Alligator mississippiensis: one gene and its partners. The protein of the gene in region 3 binds, or shares a complex with, the protein of the main gene of each other region. Links are inferred from orthologs where the notes say so. Each region holds a gene or a part of one and is shown on either strand. Other genes may lie near its edges.

The links.
Region 1: the proteins of BMP2 (region 3) and HJV are in contact, whole or in part, in a crystal structure (PDB 4UI1), measured with the Homo sapiens proteins. The link is inferred for Alligator mississippiensis from reciprocal best matches to the Homo sapiens genes BMP2 and HJV. Residues at the interface, in NP_001191.1 of Homo sapiens: Phe331, Pro332, Ala334, Asp335, Leu337, Asn341, Ile344, Val345, Leu348, Ser351, Val352; in NP_001366281.1 of Homo sapiens: Leu40, Asn43, Tyr46, Val47, Tyr86, Leu101, Ala102, Ser105, Ala106, His108, Gly109, Ile110, Asp112, Leu113.
Region 2: the proteins of BMP2 (region 3) and RGMB are in contact, whole or in part, in a crystal structure (PDB 4UI2), measured with the Homo sapiens proteins. The link is inferred for Alligator mississippiensis from reciprocal best matches to the Homo sapiens genes BMP2 and RGMB. Residues at the interface, in NP_001191.1 of Homo sapiens: Val308, Gly309, Trp310, Trp313, Met371, Tyr373, Leu374, Asp375, Glu376, Tyr385, Met388; in NP_001353437.1 of Homo sapiens: Lys97, Arg100, Gly101, Leu103, His106, Ser107, Leu110.

What each region holds. Positions count from the first base shown.
Region 1 is NC_081838.1:17,967,935-17,975,748, forward strand, and holds the start of HJV (hemojuvelin), read right to left. Parts: upstream 5,196-7,814; 5' UTR 4,956-5,195; intron 3,191-4,955; exon of another isoform or gene 2,922-3,190; intron 1-2,921. UniProt on the Homo sapiens protein: Acts as a bone morphogenetic protein (BMP) coreceptor. Through enhancement of BMP signaling regulates hepcidin (HAMP) expression and regulates iron homeostasis.
Region 2 is NC_081826.1:236,983,259-236,991,072, forward strand, and holds the start of RGMB (repulsive guidance molecule B), read right to left. Parts: upstream 4,242-7,814; 5' UTR 3,918-4,241; intron 2,544-3,917; 5' UTR 2,458-2,543; coding exon 2,453-2,457; intron 1-2,452. UniProt on the Homo sapiens protein: Member of the repulsive guidance molecule (RGM) family that contributes to the patterning of the developing nervous system. Acts as a bone morphogenetic protein (BMP) coreceptor that potentiates BMP signaling. Promotes neuronal adhesion.
Region 3 is NC_081824.1:225,997,731-226,005,544, forward strand, and holds the start of BMP2 (bone morphogenetic protein 2), read right to left. Parts: upstream 4,440-7,814; 5' UTR 3,795-4,439; intron 3,373-3,794; 5' UTR 3,366-3,372; coding exon 3,047-3,365; intron 1-3,046. UniProt on the Homo sapiens protein: Growth factor of the TGF-beta superfamily that plays essential roles in many developmental processes, including cardiogenesis, neurogenesis, and osteogenesis. Induces cartilage and bone formation.

The DNA of each region.
Region 1 (7,814 bases), on a different chromosome or scaffold from region 3:
TTATCAGCCAAACTTCAGCAACAAAAATCCAGCCAGGCCCCTCATTATCCTCCAAACGAAGCGTCCCATCCACCTGCAGCCCCCAGGCCCAGTCCCCTCGGCGGGCTCACCCAAAGGCCCAGTCCAGGAGGCAGACTAAGACGACATGTTTAACACCAAGAGGAGCCATGTTGCTTCCATGGCCCTTGCAGGGCACCCACAAGGAGACTCAAGCCTCCATCTCACCTTGCGGCCACCTTCTCCGGCAACCTTCCCCCTCCGGCTTGCAGGGTGGCTGGGAGCTGCGACGCGGGGAGCAGGGGACAGGCGCTGAAATAGATCTGACTAAATTTAGACCGAGGAAAACCCAGCCAAGAAAAACAAGCACATGGTGCGGAAAGAGGAGCCCCAGAAATAGTAGCTAACTCCAGGCAGCAGACAGGAGAGCTTGCTCTGAACTACGGCTGTGCAGAGCTACCAGGCACTGCAGAGACTTGCCAGGGGGTGCTGCTGGTCAGGCAGGTCCAGGTCAAGGTCCACCAAGTGGCCACGGCTGCTTCTGGTGGCAAACTGCCACGTTCCACGCTGCCCCCTCCCCAACAAACTGCTGCTTCCCCCACTTACCACAAAACGATTAACCAAGGAACAGAGACACACTCCTCACCCTGCTCCAGACTGGTTCACAAGGCAGCAGTGCTACATAGCCAAAGTCAGGTTCATTATCCTCATTTTATAGATGGAGAAACTGAGGCACGGAGAAGGTGAAGTCACCCAGCAGAGTAGAGACAGAGCTAGGGCTAGAACCCAGGTCTCTCGAGTCCCTGTGGTCAAGCCTCTAAGCTACTTTCCTGGGGATTTACATGGCAGTGCATCGTGGGGAAGGACCCTATAACTTGGTCATCGAGGTCTAGTGGATACAGCACTGGATGGGGACCAGGGGACTTGCCATTGTCTTGCTGTGTGACCGTGGGCAAGTCCCTTTCCCCCTGACCCCATCCCCTCTGGTCCATCAGGCCTGCAAGTGCTAAAGGGAAAAGGGCTTCTCCTTTGATGGGTGCAGTTGTGCAGCACCTGCCACGATGTAGTCCTGCTTTTAGCTGGGACATTTTCATGCCTCTGTCACAAAGAGAGCAAGCTGCATGATGATGGACGGCACTTTGCTGGGGCTGGCGGGGGTATTTTAGGGGTCTAAGCTAGCGATTCTCAACAAGGTGCCTTGGGATCGATCCTTTCAAGGGTGCTATGGGACACCACATTACATTAGCGCAGTTGGGTGCGCAAACCTGATTCACAAGACAAACCCAGAGATTGCAACCAGGGATTCATGGTGTTCAAGCATCCTGAGCGGTTATGGTCTTCCTGAGTTCTTCGCAACAGAAGAGTTGATTAAATATTTTTCTGTAGTCAAAAAAGAAGTGAAAACTAAGAACTGGCATTTTCTGAGGGGGGCTTTTGGGTCTAACAAGAGTGGCCTTGAGTCTAAAAACATTAAAAACCACTGGTCTAATCCAAAGGCAGTTTAGCATAGAGGCTTTAGATGTTGCCAAGAGCCTGCTGGGCTCCAAAGTGAACACTTGCAATTAATGACTCATCTTGTTAATAAAGGTCCGTCTCCCTTAAGGGAGGACAGCCAGAGCTTGCATTAAGCGCAGAAGAGAATTTGCCATTGCCAATCTATCTCCCATGAAAGGTACTTAGACACCAAAATGACAAGCAGCAGTACGAACCCCTCAGACTGTGATCAACCCCGACTCCGAGCAGAGAGAAGAGGTGGAGAGGTTGTTCCCAATGCAGCTTTCTCCCAAGCACAGGGCAACAAGATGCAACCAAGCCCTGGAGAAATGGTTATGTTTCGTGCCTGACATTGTACCAGGGCTCGAACTCTGGACTTTACCCACTGCTTTGAAACCATTTTTGCTCTCCAAGTGGGTGGCAAGGTTTTAATAGTACATCCCCAAATCAGATCTTTAGCCCATCAGATCCACTCTTGTGGATTGTAGCTGGTACTTAATGTTTGAGAAGCATTGAGAAGCAAGGCTAGAAGGGACCTCCAGCAGTTCCCTCGGCCAAGAAGAAGATGCAACCCTCCCCCTGGATAGTTTTTACCTCTATGGTCACATTCTGACTCTAAGAAGGGCGGCTTTTCACAGATAAAACAATGCAACCCCAAATACCCCAAAACCTCCTCTTGTAGCATTCAAAGTGGTTCAACAGTGTTGGCAACTCTTGCTAACTGATCGCACACCAGCCCAGAGGTGGGTTATCAAGTCCAGCTCCTGTCCTCAAGAAGGTGACGGCAGGAAAATCTCAGCTTCCATAAACCAGGTTTCCAAAGCTGTCTAGAAAACACAGCTGAAAACGAGACCCCTCAAAAAATCCCAAACCAGAATGCAAAGAAGCCTCTTGGAAAAGGTTTGATTAAAAAAAAAATCCATAAATTCTAAGCAGATCTCATGATTTTTCACAAGTAATAACATAAAAGACTAAAACACCAGCTCCTATCTGTTCCCCTGCCTTTGCAGACAATGCAAATCTCCAGTCCTGCCTGAAAACCAGCCTGTTTGGAGAGGAGACAGATTGCAGGCCCCCTCGTTAAACCCAAGCAAGACGGATTAATTAACAAGTCCACCTGTGAAAGAGATAAGCAGCTCTGCCAAAAGCATGCAGTGGGGTTTGCTTTGCAAAGAGCATGCCTCAAATTGCTGGAGTCTGGCTTGGCCTCAGAGAAGCAGCAAACTGCTGCTGGCAGAGTGTCTTTTCCTATCAGCTTTGGAGAGAAGAGTTACTTTCCCACTGCTAAATGCAGAGAAAGGTCTGCATCCCTGGCACTAAGCCCCTTCCTTCCATCCATCCATCCATCCCTCCATCCATCCATCCATCCATCCTCCCTGCCTTCTTTCTTTCCTTCCATAAATCCATCCACCCAGCCCCTCATGCCTTACCTGAGCCTTCCAAGGGAAAGAGAAGCAGGTGGAGGGAGAGACCACATAGCTTTAATTCCTCCACCCAGGAGCAACTGTTACTCAGTCCCTGGATACCATAATTCACCCAAAAGGGGCTCAGATACCATAAACTCAATAAAATTGCAGCTCCTGCTTTTTTGGGTGGAATCAAGACCTGACCCCTCCTTGTGAACTGCAAGAGCCTTCTTTGCAGCTCCCATCAGGCTCCCCACTCCTCCCCGCTCTATCTGCCCCTCTCCTGAGTCCCGAGGGCATCGTGTCATGGCCTCGGGGTTGGTTTTTCCCATGAGGCTCCACCCCGGCCAGGGCTTGGACTTGGACTGCAGGGGATGAGCACCATCTGTTGGAAACCAGCTGCCAGCTGTGCCAGGGCATGGATGCCCCACGTGGGAATGTGTTACAGGGAGGGCAGAAGTGGGGGCAGCTGAACATTCTTCCCAGAAGAGCAGAAGGTCCCATCCGGGCCCCACAAAGGGGTTTGGATAGGGAACTATTCAGACCTTTCAAACAGACCCCCTTATGGGAACCCCTGACTTTAACCTCTTAACCACTGCTCTTCTGCAGCAGGTCCCCCCCAGCCATCACATGGGTCACGCAGAGCCATCACGCAGGTCACGGAGCGAATTTGCCAGCTCCCATAATCAGGAATGTGCTGCCAGGCCCACAAGGCCGTCTGGAGCCTTAACAAGGGGACTTGCAGCAGATGTAACCAGGCGTTAGGTGGGATGCATGCGTTCAGCGCACAGAGGCTGGGAATTTTGCAGGCTGGAGTTGGCAGGACACGGCAGAGCTGCAGTTTGGAAGGAGGAGGAGGAAGCAGAGAAGACAGCTGTGCTGGCACAACCTCCAGCCCCTCCGGATCCATTCGGAGCCTGGGTTCAAAGGACCTGGGATCATCTCTGCTTCCTGGCCCTGCCTAGAAATGCCACGGCTCTGGCACTGCTGTGTCATCCCTGCCGCGGGCCAGTAGGGCAGAGGGAGACCTTAAAAAAGAGGTGATGGGGAACAGGGAGAAAAAGATCCAGACGGTCCTGGAGGTTTGGTTGGATCCCAAACAGATATACCCCCTTCCCTTCTCTATGCCAGTCTAGTACCAAACCCCAAGTGGAGGAGTTCTGCTCTAATTAAAGCCCGGCTGATTAATCCTCTCCTGCCAGAGCCATGACATGGATGGGGTAACAGTGACTCTCCAAAAGCAGATGAGATGCCAGGGTTCTGGTTTAGTGATGATTCATCCTATGAGGACACCTCTGAGGCACTGGCACATGAATCTCAGCCCTAGGTTGTGCCTGGGGGATGATGCAGTGCGTTCAGCCAGGCCTGGACCACACAGAGCATGGTCCAGGTTTTACCAAAGGTGCAGCTTTATAGCTGCTTAGTTGGTTCGGTGCAACACTATGCATGGACAGGTAGGGCTTCAAGGTCCATCTCATCTGACCCCCCACCCAAGACAGGATCATCAGCTGGGGTCATCTAAACCCAGCACTCTTTCCTGCCTATGCAGGGGGTCGGACTCGATGATCTATTGAGGTCCCTTCCGACCCTAGCATCTATGCATCTATAAATCCCTGTCCGCACCCTCCCAGGCAGTTTGTCCAGCCTCCCCGGCAATTCCACCAGCCCTAATTCAACTAAAGTGATCTGATTTAAATCTTTGTGCAGACAGGCTCGGCCTGCCTTGCTGGTTCCCCTAGGAAACCCTTCACCATCCTGCAAGAAGATGCTCAAGAGAGGACGAGGTCCAGAGCAGCGGACATGGGGATGGAAGTCCATGGGCTGAGCCATGCAGGGTGCTAGGACTGGGATAGTCAGGATTAATGGGGAAGCCAGGATTGATGCAGTACAAGGACAGAGGCAAAGCCCCCAGAGCCGGGTGGAACAGCAGCAAGGGGAACTGCAGTGGCAGCTCCAGACTGTGATGCACTAGCAAAGGCTGGAGGAGTGCTGGCATAGCAAACCTCAACTGCTCGCCCTCTGAAGAGAAAACCCAAAGGAGCCAGAGCTCATGCTTACCTTGGTGAACCTCAGCCCTGCCATTTGTGCTGCTCTGGTCCCGACTTCCCGGTCTCACCTGCCAGCTAGAAGCATTGGTGGAAGGAGACAGGAGAGAAAAAAAAAAGGGAACCGAGTCTGCTAACGCCGGGGGACTGGCTATGGTGCGAGCCGAAAACAGCTGAACTTTACGACAACCTGATCCGTCCCTGGGAGCCCAACAGAAGCTCTAAGTTACCACTTTAAAAATAGCCAGCAGTATTTTTGATCCCTAAAGCAGGATTCCAGGGGGGGAGGCTGGAGACTCCAGAGGGCCGAGGACGTTCTGGTTTACACCCGCTTTCTTGTCTGAAAACTTAGAGACCCCCCAGGTGATGCTGGTGAGACCTCGTCAGGATCTGACAGCCCTGCTCACGCCTGACTGCACTGGACCTCTCCTTGCTCTCTTCTTAGGGCGATGGATTTGGGGCTCCCCACGCCCCGGAGCTGAGTTTCTGCAGCCGAGAAGATGATCGGTCTTTAAACCAACTCAGTGGATCTACGAAAAGCAGCCAAGCCGGGAAGGGCTTGGGCAGAATCCAGGTTTCAACAACTCCCAGCGCTGGTTTTGGCACAGGAAGGATCAAGATATATGTTGCCACAATGGGTCTCGTGCCCAGAGGCCTGTGTCTTGTCCTGCTTCTTGGAGGGTCCACCTGGGTGGACGTGGAGGGCAGCTCTGGGCACCTCCTAGAGTGCACAAACCCCCTTGGAGAAGCTGGGGTGCTTTCTCTTCTACATCAGAAGCTGCAGGGGCTTCAGGGGATGGCTTCAGTGGTTCAGGGAAGCCACGGACTCCCCGTCCCAGCTCTGCAACGGGAAGTTCTGGAGAACATCAGGACACCTCTGCGTCTCACTGCCTCCTCCTCCTTCCTTCAATCCTCCCAGCCCAGGGGCCCATCTCGAGTGGAAAAGAGGGTGTTAGGAGTGTAGACATGAGAGACCCAGACTCCTCTTTGCATTTCCACTCCAGATGTGGGGAGAGCTGAAATCCTCTGGGCTGCATCCCTGGGGACAGCAGACGCAGGAAGCTGTTAATCCAGCTGTCCCATTGCCCCCCACCCGTAACCCACTCCTACGTGAGGGTGGGGGGCAGATTTTCACAGAAAAGCTCCCGAAAGGCCAGAGTACAGATAAATCAATAGACAGAAGCACCTGCTCCGGGGTGAGCAACTGTCCCTGTGCTTGGGCTGGGTTGTTCCATGTGTTTAAAACATAACCCAGGGTGGGAGGCAGGGGCGGGGGGAAATGCAAGTCAAGGGAGTGGATCTGGCTAAATAAAGCCTGAAGCAGTTGTAGGGGAGCCAAACAGCCTGAGCTGTCATGCACCCCCCCGGTGGGAGAGCTGGGAGCTGCCGTGCAGCTGGAAAGCAGGGTTGCACCCTGTGACTGCACTGAGTTACACCATGAGGGGACTGGCCCCCAAGCTAAAGCGGGGTCTTGGCAGGCCTGGAAATCATCCAGCCCCTCTGTTCGGAGCAGCCTGACCCCCGGGGCTGGGAATGCCTGGTGCTCTGGGGCCTGTCCAGAGGGCACCATCGCACTCATGCAAAGGGGGCATAAAATGCCCCCCTTCCTGTGGCTTTTTACAACATGCCAAGCACACAAAAGGGCCGTGCCCTGCACTGGGCCCAGCTGTTGGGAATGGTTGGAAAGCCACACCCCTGGACTCCTGTTGCAGGGGGGACAATTTGGGGGCTCTTCACACTCCCTGGCTCAGCCACAGCTGGATCCATCTCCCTTCCCACGCTGAGGCCTTCGCTGGGAATTTTCCTCCCTGCTTTCTCCCCCCATCCCGGCAGGCAGCTTGGCTGGAAATAGGGAAGGCTCCATCCCTCCACAGGCTGGACTATCACCAGGGTGGATGTGGGGCAACCTGCCCCTCAATGGGACCTGGGTGCATGGGGGACCCGCTGGGACCTTCCATCTGGAGAAGCCAGGAGTCTGCCACTTGGGTTGGGGAAGCCAGTAGCCACGTGCCATGCGTGCGCACCCCCACGAGGTGGCAGCAGCACTCAAAAAGTGGAGCCACGAGCTTGGCAAGACCCCCCAGCACCCGGACCCCTAGGTCAGACACGGTCCCAGGGGGCACTGCTTGGACCAGCTGCACCTCAGCAGGCAGGGGATGGGATGCCTGGTGTCTCCACGTTGTGAGAAGAAGTTGTGGGGAGAGGCAAAGGGCCCTGGTGCCCCCCAAAGCATCTCCAGCACATAAGATTCAGGCTCAAATCCTGCAGGAACCCCCGGCTACTGGGTAGCTGTGCCTAAAAGCCAAACCTCTGGGCCAGGCTGGAGGCAGTTACTTTACCGGAGGCTGACTATGCTCCAGGAGGCTGTTCTCCCTTTGTCCAGAACAGAGCTCTGCATTTCTGCCTCGTCCTGCCTCAGTTTCCCCTCCCTGACTTAGTCTGTCTTTGCCCTTCTAAGCACCCACAGGCAGAGACTGCCCCTTCTCATATACAGCACCTGGCACCATGGGGTCTGGTCTGAGCAAGCTAGCCTCAGATTTTCCCACTCTAAAGAAAGCAACCAAGGAAAATACACCCAGTCAACAGCAAAGCAACCCCATCCCCATCCCGTCCCTGATGCAGAAGTTTGCCGGGGCCACCTGGCTTTCCCCAGAACCCACAGCCCCCCCTTCCCTCCCCACCAGCCGCTCTTTCATCCAGAAGCAGGAGCATCGGAGAGGGGTTTCAAGTCGTGATTGATTGGCAGGTCTTATTCCCAGACCTTTCGCACAGAAAAGCTGTCTTCAGCTCCGACCCTCCCCATTTGTCCTCTGTGAATTAAGACAAAACCATTGGGCTGCAATTAGAGATAAGGAACTGTTGATAATTACCC
Region 2 (7,814 bases), on a different chromosome or scaffold from region 3:
TTTCCGATTATCTGTCCCATAGCGATCTGCTCCCCCCACCCCTTCCTTTTCCCTTCCTTTTCCTTTGTTTAAGTTGTTTTTAAATCCGCTTGGCCCCGGTGACACACACCAAACAAAAGGCATTAGGAAGGGGAGGGGGAATTCATTCAGCAGCATAGAAACAGCAGCAAAACCAGTTTAGGAACACAAGAGTCAGTCATTCCTTAAACTAATCCGTTTGCATGTTTTTCTACATTAAAAGCTCTCTTCACACCAATTGCCCTGCACCATAGCAACTTTTCAGTGTTGCTCCCAGGGCACTCCGATCAGGTGACTCCATACATTTCAAACGGATCTGCTCTTCCTCCCTCCTCGTCACCCCTACTGCAGTTGTGCCCATGACAAAGAGCTGAATCCCTGTGCCCCACCCCACAGTTCAAGCTTGCAGCTGTGTTTCCACAGTATCAACCTAGCAGGAGCACAGCTCACAGACAAGATCTATTGGATTCTCAAGCCTGCCGCTAACCTTGGAGCAAGCATGATTAGATCAGCTGCTACCCACAGTTCTGGTTTTGGTCACTTGCTTTGTAGGTTTCTCTTCTTCAAAACACCCGAAACAACTGACAGATGACAGACTGAAGAGCAATGGTTTCATGGCAGCGAGGGAGGTTTAGATTGGATATTAGGAAAAACTTTATCACTAGGAGGGTGATGAAGCACTGGAATAAATTACCTAGAGAGGAGGTAGAATCTCCATCCTTGGAGGTTTTTAAGGCCCGGCTTGACAAAGCCCTGGCTGGGATGATCTAGTTGGGGCTGGTGCTGCTTTGAGAAAGGGGGTGGACTAGATGACCTCCTCGGTCCCTTCCAAGCTTCCTGTTCTGATTCTATGAACTACACAAAGATATGTCAAGGGATACAGCTTTGACTCCCACCCTAACTTCTCCCACTTGCAACAAAGAAGAAAAAGGTCGCAGGGTTCACAACAAAGTGCACAGACTGCACTTCCCCCTTTAAAAATGTAATGGCTGTTTCTGAATTTTTTGAAAGTTATTTCTGGGATTAAAATCAGATCTGAGACCCATATTCAAGCAAAACTCTCAGTAAAGGCAACGGGAGTTTTTGCCTGTTCTGGTTTTGTTCCAACTCCTTTCAACTGTGGTCCTGCTGTTTGTTCTGTGCTCGGTTCCTTGACAATAGAGGGCGCTCTTGAGATATTCCAAATATTTGGGTCAAACACTGGAATTGTGCTGGTAAAAAGGAGAACATGCATTTCATCCAGGGTGCTTTATTGTACTATTGTTAAATTTGACAAGTTCGAGATTTGGCTGCCTAACATCTGCATTGGTGTGTGTGTCCAAATGCACAGCCTGCAGCAAATGTGACATTTCCCTACAACTGCCCTGCCAGATAACTCTCATTTTGAAAGCTCAGGGCCACTAAATTAGCTGAGACAGTAACATGGGAAGATTAAAGTTCAGTATTTCAGAATAGGGAAAGATCTGACTGTGTTGATAGCCACGCACACTTGCTATTGTTATAAGCTCACATCTGAACCCACTCCTGAACTTTCACTTTCTAGCCCTTTTAAAGACCAGGAAAACAGGTGAAAGTTCAGGAATGAGTTCAGATGTGAGCTTATAACAATAGCAAGTGCATGTGGCTATCAACACATTGTTGTGACTTGAAGATGTCAAACAAACCACAGCTCTGATTTTTAGGTCTCTTTATCTCTTGCTTTCCCCCCCAGCTACAGCCAAGAAGCAAAAGAAGCAAGCATCATACGGCTCTGAGACCCAGCTTTTTTAAAAAGTGAAATTATATCAAAGAAAATGATAGAAAATGAATGTTGGGAGGAACCTCAGGGGGTCATATAGTCCAACTTCCAGCTCAAAGCAGGACCATCTCCAACTAAATCATCCCAGCCAGGGCTTTGTCAAGCTGGGCCCTAAAAACCTCCAAGGGTAGAGATTCTACCACCTCTCTAGGTAATGTGTTCTAGTGCTTCATCACCCTCCTAGTGAGAAAGTTTTTCCTAATATTCAACTCAAACCTCCCTTGCTGCCACTTGAGACCATTTCTCCTTGTTCTGTCATCTGTCACCACTGAGTTTAGCTCCAGCAAACATGTAACTGCGTAAAATGAAGTGAACATGTAACTGGGTAAAAGTCAAACACCTGCCAAAGCATTCATGGATTTGAAACAAGCTGTGGTTTGTTTTCCAGAAGGAATGTGCGATGCCTTAACTGTTCCCCTGCTGATACAATCTCCGTTTCCAGACATCCAACATGAATCTCCTCTTGGTCTGCTTATGACATTGGTGTGAGCGAAGGAAGGCTAGTGGGGAATCCAAGCTGGGCTTTCACTTTGCAAAACACATCATTCTATTTCCCACTATTATTTGGCAACGAAGGCAGCAAGTATCAGCAATAACTATTTAATAAACGGACATCTCTGATATTTTCGTACTTACATCATGTTTAACCCTATGGTGTGGAGCGGAGCTGTGGAGTCAGAGCTGCATCCTATTCTCCTAGACGATGGGACCCTTTGCAAATTAGGACCTGTACAGCAGATAATTGAGAACATGTACATCACAAGCTGTCCTGCGGAGGGCAGAGGAAAGGGGTCATTACTCCAACCTATAAAGGAGATTGACATGAGCCTGGGTTTTGCAGCTACTGACTAAGCCTGAAAATAGCAGGTGCAAAAAGCATTTGGAAGTCGCTTGCCAGAGCCCGGGAGGTAATGCGCTTCCTGCCCATTTATCTCAGGAAACCAGCATGATCTTCCCCCCGAAACAAAGTTAACCTCTCATTAGCCAGAAACTCCTGAGAAAGCTTTAAAAGCTTTGCAGTCTAGCTAATGTGTTTAAGATACTCCCCCCTCCACCTTCTCAGGCACTGCCATGGCAATTACTTGCCATCAGTTCCACATCGGGCTGGCTAAGGCAGGCTGAGTTTGCATTTATCTGCTGTGAGGCTGACAAGCCCAGAGCCTGTCAATGCAGAAAGGAAGCGTGGCAGCCAACTTCTTGCCTCTTTAGAGCTCCTCGAGAGCTTCCTGACATGAAGCTCAGCATTCCCATCTCAGGCATCACACACACACAGAAACACACACAGCACACACAGAAAGAGCACACACCCCACACAGAGCATACAGCAAAATTGGGATCTGCCCCCTCTGCCTTGTGACCTTTCCTCCATTCAATGCCCAGACCTGAATCCAGCAATGACCTTTCAGTGCTCTTTTTTTCTCAGCTAAAAAAGCTCCATAGAACAACATTGCAATGTGTGTATATTGCAATGTGTGTGTGTTTGTCTATGCAGATACACATCCCAAGGATCCCATTAGAGTGTGTGTGTATATTGCAATGTGTGTATATCTATCTAACTAGCTGGATACACATTGCAAAGATCCTGTGTAGTGTGTGTGTATTGCAATGTGTATCTATGCAGATACACACTGCAAGGAACCCGTGTCTTGTGTGTGTGTGCATGTGTGTGTATTACAATGTGTGTCTCTCTACACACTGCAACACACACACACACACACACACACACACACACACACAAGATCCTTGAACCGCTCCAGGCTGACATCAGTCGCAAACAATCCGGAGTAAGAGGTGTTTATTTTCTCAGATGGAATCTGCAATGTGCAAACATGTAAGTGGTTACAGATGTCCGTCTGGACCTATTTTCCCCTTCTTCTTCCCCCCCACCCCCCTTTCTCTTTTTACTCCTGCTGGTTCCCCGGAGAACCAAGCGCTTGTTTAGAGACAGGTGGATCGAAGGAGGAAACAACAACAACAACAACAACAACAAACATCCTGATTTTTGTTTTTAAAGAACCCCAAGGCAGGCAAACAAACAAGGGAGCAAAAATCCACCCCCCTGCCGCAAACCTCAAGTCCGGCAAGGAAAGAAGCAACTCACCGCAGCCGGCCCCTGGGCTCCATCCCCGCCGGCTGCCACATCCCGGCGCGGGCGGGCGCGGGGCGATCAGCAGTGGCGCGGGCGGGCGCTGTCCGCCGGGAAGGGGGCACTCATCGGGACAGCTCGGCCGGCCGCCGCCTGCATCTGGATCCACCTCGCAGGGGCTGTTTATCTGCCTCCCCCTTCCCGGCGCTGGCACAAAGCGAGGGGGATGTGCCTTTAATGACAGCGTGATCTTTCCGCCACCTATAGAAGACAAATGAGGGCTGGTGGAGGGGGGGGGGAGCAGGGAGCACAGTAATTCCCTCCTCGGGGCTGGGAAGATGCTCTCCATCCCCCGCTCCCCTGCCGCCCCCAAGGAGGGAGGTTGGAGCAGCGCGCTGGCCCCACCTCCTCCGGCTGCAGCCCCCTGGCGGAGCTGGCAGCGCATGCTGCAACCGCTGGAATGTACCTGCACATCTGGAGCAGCCGCTGGGCACGCTCCCCTTCGAGGCTCGCACAAAGGGGCCCTTTAGTGGGCCGGGGAACACTGGCTCGGGGCGGGCAGCCTCTCTTTTACAACCCCCCTCGCACTTGTTCAGCAATTTGTTACACTATCAAAGCCTCGCACCCGCCAACAACCCCCTTATTTATTTGGTTATTAGCCGACCTTGTATATACACCAGCTTTCCCAGGTCTCCCCAGATGTTTGGCTGCCAGCAGACAATCAGTTTCCCTTCCTTCTCCTGATTGAGTCCTAGCAGTTACATGTTTGTTTGGTTGGGTTTTTTTTTTTTTTTGGGGGGGGGGGGTTGAGGGGGAGGAGGTCTTTTTTTGGTACAGAATTTCTTCCCCAGCTTGCAAAGGCTTGGACACATTCATGGGAGGGTGGGGGGAACTTGGTTTTGTGACCATTAGGTAAGGTTGGTTTAGGTTTACAGTATAATCTCTCTGGTGCATCTGGACAGGCCCTCTAGGACCCAATACCTATTCAGGAGATATTATTGTTATTATTATTATTTTGTAATGTCACAGCCCAGATTGGAAGACGGATGTGGCTTTGTGCAAGCCGGGAGACGATACATTGGGAAAATGGTCTTTGTGGACATGTCCAGATAAGCATGGATGTTTGTTTCCCCAGGGAGAAGCAACAACAGCACACCTTGTATGGCTGCTACTTATCCCTGGGGAATGCCTGTGTTATGCATGCTCTGGCATGTGGCAAGTTACCTTGGGTGGGGTAGGGGAAGCTGGGGCCAGCACAATGCTGGCCCCAGCAGCCCTATCTGGGGCCCTGTGAGCCTCCCTGGGCTGCAGCTATGGCAGGAAACCTGGCCAACAGCTAGTGTGGCTCTGGCCAGCCAGGCTCTGTTTTTGGATGGTGCGTGCTACCACCGTGTGTGCCACCCCGCTTTTTTGGGGGGGTGGGGTTTTTGACCCTTGGATCTCCCTGGGCCAAACCCTCCTCCCCCCAGTGCTGCAAGGCAGCAGCATGGGGAATGCCTGCATGTACAGTATGTGGTGTCGCAGATGGGTTTGTGACACCACACAGCCACACTTGTCTGGGTGCAGCTTATATGTCCTGCTTTTATAATCTAGTACAATCCCCTGCTCAGAGCAGGATCAGACCCTAACTTCATTTTCCTCTGTTAATTGCTAGATCCTCCTTTTTTCCAGCCCAACAATTGAAAGTCTGATTTAGAGCCCCTGAGAATTCTTTATTTTCCTGGATTTTAGTGAGTTTTGCATTAGGTATTGAAACAGCAAGGTGGCCAGAGCAGCCAACCTCAGCCCTGCCCTCCTTCAAATGAACTCCTGCCAGATAATTGCACTCATTGTGTCTCACTTTGCTAATCATCCTGGCCTTGGTTCTCAGAACTCTTTGGAGCATCTCTGGATCTGCTGGCTCAAGAGAAACACAATAGGAGCATGCTCTTCTCGTTAAAGAACATTTCAAACAGCTCTGTTCCTAGCCCACAGGAATATGGGGTTTTAATTTACCCACTTGCTTCATCATTTGAAACTCCACAGCTGCAATCAGCAAAGCAGTAGTAGCTTTGATTAAAAATCCTAAAGGCAAGTCTCGTGTGTTTTTCTTCCTCCCTGTTCCACAAGCACAAAGAAGATCGGGTGCATAAAATAATGATGAGGGAGAGTTCAAAGCAATTCCAGAAAGCTGGCCTGAGAGGATGTTTTCTAATGCAGTTCCAGCCATTTACCATTCTTTCTCTTTGTTGAGCTTGCGCCAACACAACAGAGATAATCTAGCAAGCCATGGTTCTTTTCTTCTCTCCAGAAACATTAGTCAATATGTTTTAGAAGTCAGCTAGTCAGGTCTACCACAAATATAGTAATTAAATAAATGCCTTTAATCTGGTCTATAATAGACTTCTTTAACTTATTATCGGCACAAGAGGCCTTACTAAGGCAACTGCTCTTCTCATGATTTTTGTAGGATTTTTAGCACTTCTGAGACCTAGAAGAATCCTTTTCTTAGGTTCTGGTGAACCAGAAAAAAAAGAGGAGAGTGTAAGAAATAGGCATCTCTTTTGCTCCTGCATCATTTGCCAAATTTAAAGGCACAGAAGAGTATAAGCATCACAATACCATTTACCCTACAGATAAACAGGCATCTGAAACATTCTGGAGTTGTACCATGATCTTTGCTAATAGAAGCTTAAAGTATTAGAAGCTTAAAGTATGCTCTTCACACAGTGATCCAATATTGACATACTTAATGTGTTACATCTATAGCTATATTACCACTTCTATCTGGAAATTTGGAAGTACTTCCAAACACCAACTGATATCCTTGAGGTTATTATTCTTAATGAGAAAGGAAGTAGACCTTTATATCCTTACGAGACAGGTATTCACATACACATTTTATCTTTATTTAAAAAAAAAACCCTGCAGCATCAACCCTGTCACAAACACCAGGGATCATTTTTGATGCCATACATGTTAATTATACTAAAGCAATGAAATTAACATGCAATCTGCATTAACATCCACATTCAGTAGGCATTCCCAGGTGACTTAGTAAACTATCCATTTTACAGATAGATATAATGAAGGAAGAATAACTTCTGCACAAGTACAAAGAAAATCAGAAGTTTCTGAAAAGTTTTCTGATTAGAACTGGTCTAAAAGGACTTGCATCAATAGTCACAGAAATTAAGGTGCATCAATATAGTCACTGCAATGCCAATTTCCTTAATAATGACAGAATTTCAGATACCATGGTAAAAAGCAACATATAAACACCTAGCTGATATGTATGGCTGAATAGAATCAGCATTCATTTATTTGGCCAAGGAAATAATTTTTTCTAATGCAATTTGACTTCTAGCACCTCATTTAGAACAGAAGAGACTTGATATTTCATTAAAGATACCTTATTCATAAAGTGTTTTCCTTTTTTCCCCTGTCAGGTTTCCAAGGATTTTATGCAGAAAAAATGGCTTAATAGCTTTTCTTTGCCACATAAACGACTCTTTATTGTAATCCATTAAGCTCCCTTTTGATATGCAGAAGTGGGTTCATGACTTCAAGAGGAAGGGCCTTCACCAGCAGCATACATGCTATCCATTTCACATAGCATTTGTCATTATTCCATTCAGTTCATCATCACCAAGTGAGCATACATCATTACCACAGCAAAACTGACATCTTAGTGAACAGTTTTTGCACATGCTTCCACTAACTAAAACAGGAAACAAACCACATATGATGCACTATAAATTTGTAATTTTAATTCAGCACCAAAAAACAAGCAAATAAAAAGTATTCAAAGTCAGGTATGAATTAGGAAAGCAAAAAAGGCTGACATTCTTGCACTTAAAGAAAGGAGGCTGGCATTCTTCATCCACATATTGTTAGAACAGTTATTGTCCTGAATACCGGTACTGCTTTATA
Region 3 (7,814 bases):
CCACAATTTAGATGATTTGCAAACCCTAATACACAGATTTTTGTGCCCTAATTAGAGACCGCAAGCTCAACATCTGTGATGGCATTTTACAAAGAACACCCTATTATTTTACTCAAAAGGTCTGTAAAGAGATGGCTACCCACAGTACCATGGATGGTACCATGACAGTGAAACAAAGAGATAGCTTCTTAGCTTAAATTTAGTCCCATTCTCTTCCCCTGTTCCCCTCCTCTGTAATTATATTGGGGGGGGGGGGGGGGGGAGATGTGGCATGTGGCCTATTGTGTGGGGGCTATAAAATGTGTAGTACAAGTCTGAACTGCATAGCTATGCAAAGCTAAATTTAAAGTTTGAAGTGTAAAAAATAAACCTGTTCAAAAAAATTCAGTTTTTAAATTTTGGTGATAAATATGCTGGAAAACCATTCATCTTGCCATAAAAAGTCGTTACTAATATGAATATTCCTTAACTCAAGCAATTATTCCTTGCTTATTTTAATGGATTCCCTTCCCTAAATAAGGATTTTTCATAAGGGTATCAGGATTAGGTCCAAAATAGGTAAATAGATGGCTCATTTGTTGCCATCTTGCAAAAGTGATTTCACATGTTTTCATACAGTCAGTAATGCTTTCAGGCAGCCTGACCTAACCAATGGTTTACAAAGCAAGTGGCTAGTTTTATTATTATTATTTGTTGCAAAATGTAGAATCAAACTTTATTTTTTTGTTGTGAAATTTCTTCAAATGGCAGTAACATGCTAGTTGGCAAACTGTGCTATTGCTTTTCAACTTCTGTAGAGTTCCTTTTCTACCACGTTTAGTTTTATGTTCAGAAGTCTGGTAGCATGAATGAATCTTACACTGGATTTTCTCCATTTATTACCAAGAGTTTACTTTCCACATACAGAAGCACAAACCACAGTGCAAGGTTAAATTTCGCCATTAATCTCCTTCCTCATTATAAGGCTTTCCATTAGAGAGTATAACCACCGATTTCAGGCCACTTCCTTTGTATACCAACTTAATTAAATCCTAATAAAATTTCTTTCGTCACAGCTCCATGTTGTAACATGTGGAATCTGTGTTTTCATTAATTTTACAGTGAGCCTACAGCATACCACCACTGAAGACTAATAGCTAGAAGTTATTTACAAATTCTGGAATATTTCTTTGCGTTAAGAGCAAGAGTAACATGCAAACCACTCATTCTAGAGGTCTACCTGGGCTATCTGCCATGACACCAGTTTAGTTATTTCCTCCCCCTGCCTGAACCCCCCACTCCCAGAATCTAGTTAGTCCATGGACACACATATTTAATAAAACAATGAGTACCGAAAGGCAAATAAAAAAAAAAAAATGCACCTAAGAAAAGACAAATCTCCTCTGCATGTATTTAGTAAATTGGTAACAAAGTAAAATGGATACATTAGACCATTCATGGTGACTAGTTTGTCACAGAAGCGTAAGGCTGGAGTTATTATACTATCCTAATGCAGTTAAACCCTATTGAACTTTTAAAAGGTTTCAACAAGAAGAGAGGTGGATACAGCTCTCCACAAGATAGCAGCATTTGGGTGAGATTAGAAAACAGCTACTTGAGATTTTTAAAGCAGTAAGTGACTTTACACACACGTGTTTGTGTGTGTGTGTGTGTAGATTATCTAATTTCAAGACAAAAAAAGAGTTTGGGTGTATGCAGTTTCACACTTCTTTATAACATGCGCTCAGCATCTTACTTAAAATGACAGTATTGATCGGCTCAGGTGAACATGTGAGACAGGGGAGGGCTGTGACAAGGCTTTTATCAGACCAGTTTTGCCCCTTAGAGCTGCGTTAAATCTAGCCTTGTTTCAGAACTCAGGACAAGAAAGTCATTATGGAAACAATACAATCAATTGTGGAATTGATCTCTCACGGGGATTAGAAACCTTTCCTCAAGGACCCTCTTACAGATCAACTGTAAGTAAGCAAGGGAGACTTTCTGGTATTTAGCCTTATAAATAAAAAAAGAAAACTAATCTGTGGGAATTCTTAATTTGGGCCCAATCTGTTAGAAAATTAAAAAAAAAAAAATAAGAAAAATCGACAGGTCTCACATCAGATGAAAAAGGGAGGGAAAGTGGAGGGGGCAGGGGTAAGAAAAAGCAGGGGGAGGAGAAAAAAAAATAAAAAAAGATTTGAGCCCCAAGTGCATCAGAACATAAAATTCAGAGTCGTTTAATCAGGGCTTTTAAAAACACACACACACACACACACACACCTGACTACAAGCACTGCTGGGAAGTTCAACACAACCTATTTTATTAGCAGCCGAGCTTATTAACTCCTTGGAAAGACTTTGTCCCTGATACTCCTCCCCCCCCCCCCCTGTTTTTTAAGCCTCCAAAGCTGATCACATCCATACCAAAAAAAAGGGACCCCCCTACACACACATTCCCTCTCACACCCCTTAATCCCCCTATGCACACAACCAACAAACACTCCCTTTCACACCCCTGTCTACACATGCACACCCTACAGACCCTGAACACACTCCCTGACACCCCTACACACATGCTCTCTCTGACACCTATGTACACACTCTTCCTCACAGCCCCTACACACACACCCACACCCTCCTACCCAAACCCCTTACCCACACCCTAGACAGATCCTCAAATCCCCTACACACCCTGTACACACAAGCACTCCCTCACACCCACTACAGCCCCCCCCACACACACACTCCCTCACCTACAAACATGCATTAGTCTCCCTAGTCTTCCACACACACCCCATACACACATGCCCAAGCCCCTCTACACCCTACACACACACTGACACCCCTAACCACAAACATACACACCCTACAGCCCCCTACACACACTGTCCCTCTCACAATCCCTACATACACACACACCCTACTGTCTCCTCTACACACACACTCTCTCCCACAGCCCCCAAACCCCCCTACACTTTACAACTCCCAAACACCACCACCCCCCCCCACACACACACACACACGGAGCCCCCTGAAGCTGCCCCCGCGGCCGCTCCGCTCCGCTCACCGTCGTGGTGGAAGCTGCGCACCGTGTTGGCGCGGCTGGCGGCGCGCTCGAGCCGGGCGCCCAGCTGGTGGCCGGCGTGCAGGCGGTACAGCTCCCGCATGTAGGGCGGCACGACGGCGCCGCGGCTAGGGCTCGGCCGCCGCTTCAGCCCGAACATGTGCAGCAGGCGCAGCTCGAACTCGCTCAGCACGTCCTCCGACGGCTGCGGGGCCGCCCGGCCCGCCCGCCGCCGGCCCACCTCCGGCATCAGCCCGGCCGAGCCGCCCAGCGCCACCTGGCACAGCAGCAGCGCCAGCAGCGACCGGGTTGCGGCCACCATGGTCGCCCTGCAAGGCACACACGAGGGGGAAAGGGGGGTCAGCAGGGCGCGGCAGCAGGTGCCAGATCCCCCCCCGGGCCCGATCCCGCACCTAAGACCCCCCGCCCACCCCCTCTCCATCCCGCACCAAACATGCACCCGCCTCCCCGGGCCCGATCCCAATCCCAATCCCATCCTAAAGACCTCCCCCCCCCCACGCACCCACTTCCCCTGCCCCGATCCCACCCCCTCCATGCACCTTCCCCCCCAACCCCTCCCGGGCCCGATCCCGCACCAAAGTGCCCCCCCGGGGGCAGACACCCCCTGCCCACAGCAGCAGCAGCAGCAGCAGCGCTGGGGCTGATCCGAAGCGAGTCCGGATTGCGGGGGGCCGGCCGCGGCCGGAGCGCGCAGGGGCAGACGGGCCCCAGCAGGTGCGCCCAGCCCTACCTTTAGGAGCCCGCCGACGGCCTAGGCAGCTGCGGCGGCGGCGGCACTCGGGGGCATGTCCGCGAGCGGCACATGTGCGGCGCCCCGGGGTGGCCTCGCCGGGTCTGTGTGCGCGAGTCCTCCTAGGCGCGGAGCCAAGCCGGCGGGCTGCCCTCCGCCCGCGCCGCGCCGGGGCCGCTGGCCCGCGCTGCTCCTGCCGGGCGGCTCCTACGTCCTCCGCGGCAGCCCATGGCCGCGGCCGGCACTCATGCTGAGCGGGAGGCTGCGGCTGAGCCCCGCATCCCCGGCGCCTCCCGCCGCTGCAGCCGCTGCCCCCGGCCCGCCGGCGCAGCCCGCCTCGGAGACATGCCCGGCTCGCGGGGGACTGCTTCCCCGCCGGGGGCCGGCCAGGGGCAGGGCTGGGGTTTCCTCCTCTCGAAAGCCGCGATCAACAAGTGGCTGCTGCCGTGGCCGCCGCTTCCTCCTGCCGCGGGGGTGTGGCAGCCTGCGGGCAGATGCTCCTCCTGGCTGCCCGCGGCGCGGAGCCCGTCTCGTGCGCCGCCGCGGCCCCTCGCTGCGTGTGCCTGTGCGCCCGCCCCGGCCCGGCCCGGCTCCTGCTGCCCCTGCCTCTGCCAAGCGCCGGAGGTGCCTCCTTGGCTTTTTGTGGCGCTGCTGATGTCACGACCCCGGGGGCTTGCGGGCCCGCGCCAATCACAGGCGGCTGCGGGAGAGCCAGCGATTGCAGCACCGCCGCCGCCGCCTCCTCCTCCTGCCTCCCGCCCGCCCTCCTTCCCGCCCTCCCTGCCCCTGCGCTTCTGCTCCCCGCCGGCCGAGCTGGGCACCGGCCCGTTAGGCTGCGGCCGGGGAGCCTCTCTGGTGGCCGCGCTCCCCCGGGGCATGTGTGGGTGGAAGGGTGTTGCTGCCCCTGAGCTTGCAAAGCAGAGTTTTATTTTTTTCCCCAACGATTGGGTTGGGCTAATAAAAGAGATCGCGTTTACCCAGAGAACCGTGTCTACCGGGGGATGGATACCCCGGGAAGGGGTGGGCTCCAAACCAGGCACTAGCTTGGATCCTCACTGACAAGAATACCAGGGAGCATTTACCCCCCAAAATCTTGTCTACCCAGGGGATGTGGATACCCAGGGGGCTCCAAGCCGGGCACTACCAAGAATACCAGGGAGCATTTACCCCAAAAATCTTATCTGTCCAGGGAATATGGATACCCAGGGTGCTTTTGCTTGGATCCTCACTAGCTAAAATATCATGGAGCATTTACCCCCAAAATCTTGTCTACCCTGGGGATGTGGATGGGGGGAGTGTGCTACAAGCTGGGCACTACCTTGGATCCTCACTGGCAAGAAACCAGGAAGCATTTACCCCAAAAGTCTTATCTGCCCAGGGGATGTGGATACCCAGGGTACTCCATGCTGGGCACTACCAAGAATTCCATGGAGCATTTACCCCAGAAACTTGCCTACCCAGGGAATGTAGATTGGGGGGGGGGGGGGCACTAGCTTGAATCCTCCATGGTATTCTTGCTAAGTAGAGGGTCCAAGCTAGTGCCCTCCCAGTCCTTTCATTTCCATTTTTGTAGTCATCTAATATATTTTGCTGCGTTAGCAACACCCACAACCCTCTACAACCATATCTTGGTAGTTTCAACCTGGTCCCTGGAGGAGACAGGCTCCGAATCGGGGCTTGAACCTGACCTCTGGTGTTATCAACCCAGAGCTGATCCTTGCTGCGGCAAAGGTGGCGCTATGTGAGGGGTGGGGCAGGGCTAGCTTAAGGCATAGCAAGCTAGGCACATGCCTAAGGCCCTCAGTGAAGAAGGGGGGCCAGTTGTACTTATTTTACATATTCTAATTATTGAGTGAAACAAAAGGAATATAAATCTACAGGATTAAGTAGGGGCCTATGAATTTGCCTAGGGCCCACTAAAGGGTTAATCCACCCTTGAAGGGGGGATCCCTCAATGGTTAATGGGTGGGAGGGGCATTGCTCAATGGTCACTGCAGCCCCGGCTAGTCCCTAAAGGTGCAAAGTAGGATCTTCCGGCTGCGCCTTAGAAGCTGTCACCTCGGGGACACGTCCCAGAAGAGACTCATAGGGCAGAGGAGCCGGGGGCCCATCCTGCCCGGGGTTCCCAGGTTTAGCCGCAGGCATCTCTGTGGGAGCGGGGAGGACTGGGTTAGCCAGAACCTGAGCGCCTACAAGTGGCGAGGTAGAGGAAAGTCAGCTGAGAGCCAAGGTGAACAATGAGCCATTATAGCATCTGTCTGTCAGGGAAGAGCGAAATAAATGGAGGGGCAGGCGGGGCTTAAAACAAATTGGATTAAGCTTCGTGCAGTGGGATTTCAGTGTTTGCTGACTTTTAAGGTGTGAAGGTCAAATAATGTATTGGGAGAGTCAGAGTGTTAAAATAAGGTGGTAGTAGTAGTAGTAGCTGTGTGTGTGTGTGTGTGTGTGTGTGTGTGTGTGTTTTATATATGCATCTGTGTTTGTGTGTGGTTTACACATCTGCATGTATGTGTATTTGTGTGTATTTATAGTGTGTTTGTTTTTACATATATGCATGTGTGTGTTATGTGTGTATGTGCATGTTTATGTGTGTGAATGTGTGTGTTATGTGTGTATGTTATATATATAGGCATGGATGTATGTGTGGGTATGTGTGTTTATATACGTAAGTTATATATATATATGCATATGTGTGTGTGTTTATATACATGTGTATTTAGATGTGTTTATGTGTGTGTGTGTTTATATATGCATGTATGTATATATGGGTATAAGTATATATGTATGTGTATGTATGTATATGCATGCATATCTATATATATATGCATATATATGTATGTATATATACGTATATGTCCCAATGATGAGCTAGGGAAGAGGCGTCAGAGGCGGGCAAGAGAAAACAGTACTCAGCATGCCAGTGCAAGCTCAACTGATTTGTATGTGCAACTTGCTGGAGGTTCTGCTTGTTGCGCATCAGACTCAGCCACTCAGGAAGCTGTGGCAGTATCCAGTAACCCACCAAAGGCGCAATCTCCACAGTCTCTCAAGACCGATGGTTGCAAAAGATGATATGTGTGGATGTGTACGTATATATGTGTGTGTTTATATACATGTATATGTATGCATGTAATACGTGAGTATGTATGTGTGTCTATATGTATGTGTATCTGTATATATGTATATACGTATCTATACACACACATACATGTGAAAACCCAGGCATATGATATTTGGGAAGATGAGCACAAACCATGCCAAGAGAATGCTGCAAGAGGACAGATTCTCAGCCAGCCTATATGGGTTACCTACTGATCTGGTCCAATGACTTCGAGCGTTTAGAAACAGCAAGAGGGAGGCTGATTTCAGTGCCCGCTGTCTATAGCTAAAACCCCTGGCTCAACGTATACCTCCTCATGTCTCTAGCAAAGATCAGCTGGGATTTGAATTCTGCATGGGTTAACAGAAAGCTGGGTTTCTCTCCCTATTTTTTTTCCTTTTTCTACCTGTTGAATGGGAAGAGAATTCAGTGAAAAAACAAAACCGGCTACCACTGTGATACCAAGGAAAGCTGGCCTGAGTTCCCCTCCGCATATCAGAAAGGAGCAAGGCAGGTAGCCCCTGCATTGGTATGGAACAGATTTCATCCACCTCAAATATCATTCTGGAGTAGGTGTTCAGTATGCCTTTTTCTTTCAGTAGCCACAGCTCCAAAGATGCACCTCCAAAGGGGCACCTGGATGTTCATCTCTGTAGCAAAGACAGCCCTGTGGAATGCACCCATCTTTATAACCCAATGTTTTCTGTCCCCAGGAAACTGGGCCCCGAGGCCTGGCAGAAACATCAGGCTCAGGGTGAAAGAACCTTCCCCACTCCTCCTGATAGCTGGAGAGACAGGACAGGAGAGAAGAGGAATTCCCTCTGCCTAAAAGTTTGCCTCTCAGAACCTGCCAATCTCAAAAGTAGTAGTTGTTTTCTCCCTTTGTAGGAAACGTGTTCAGGTCCCCAAGAGGCTGCTTC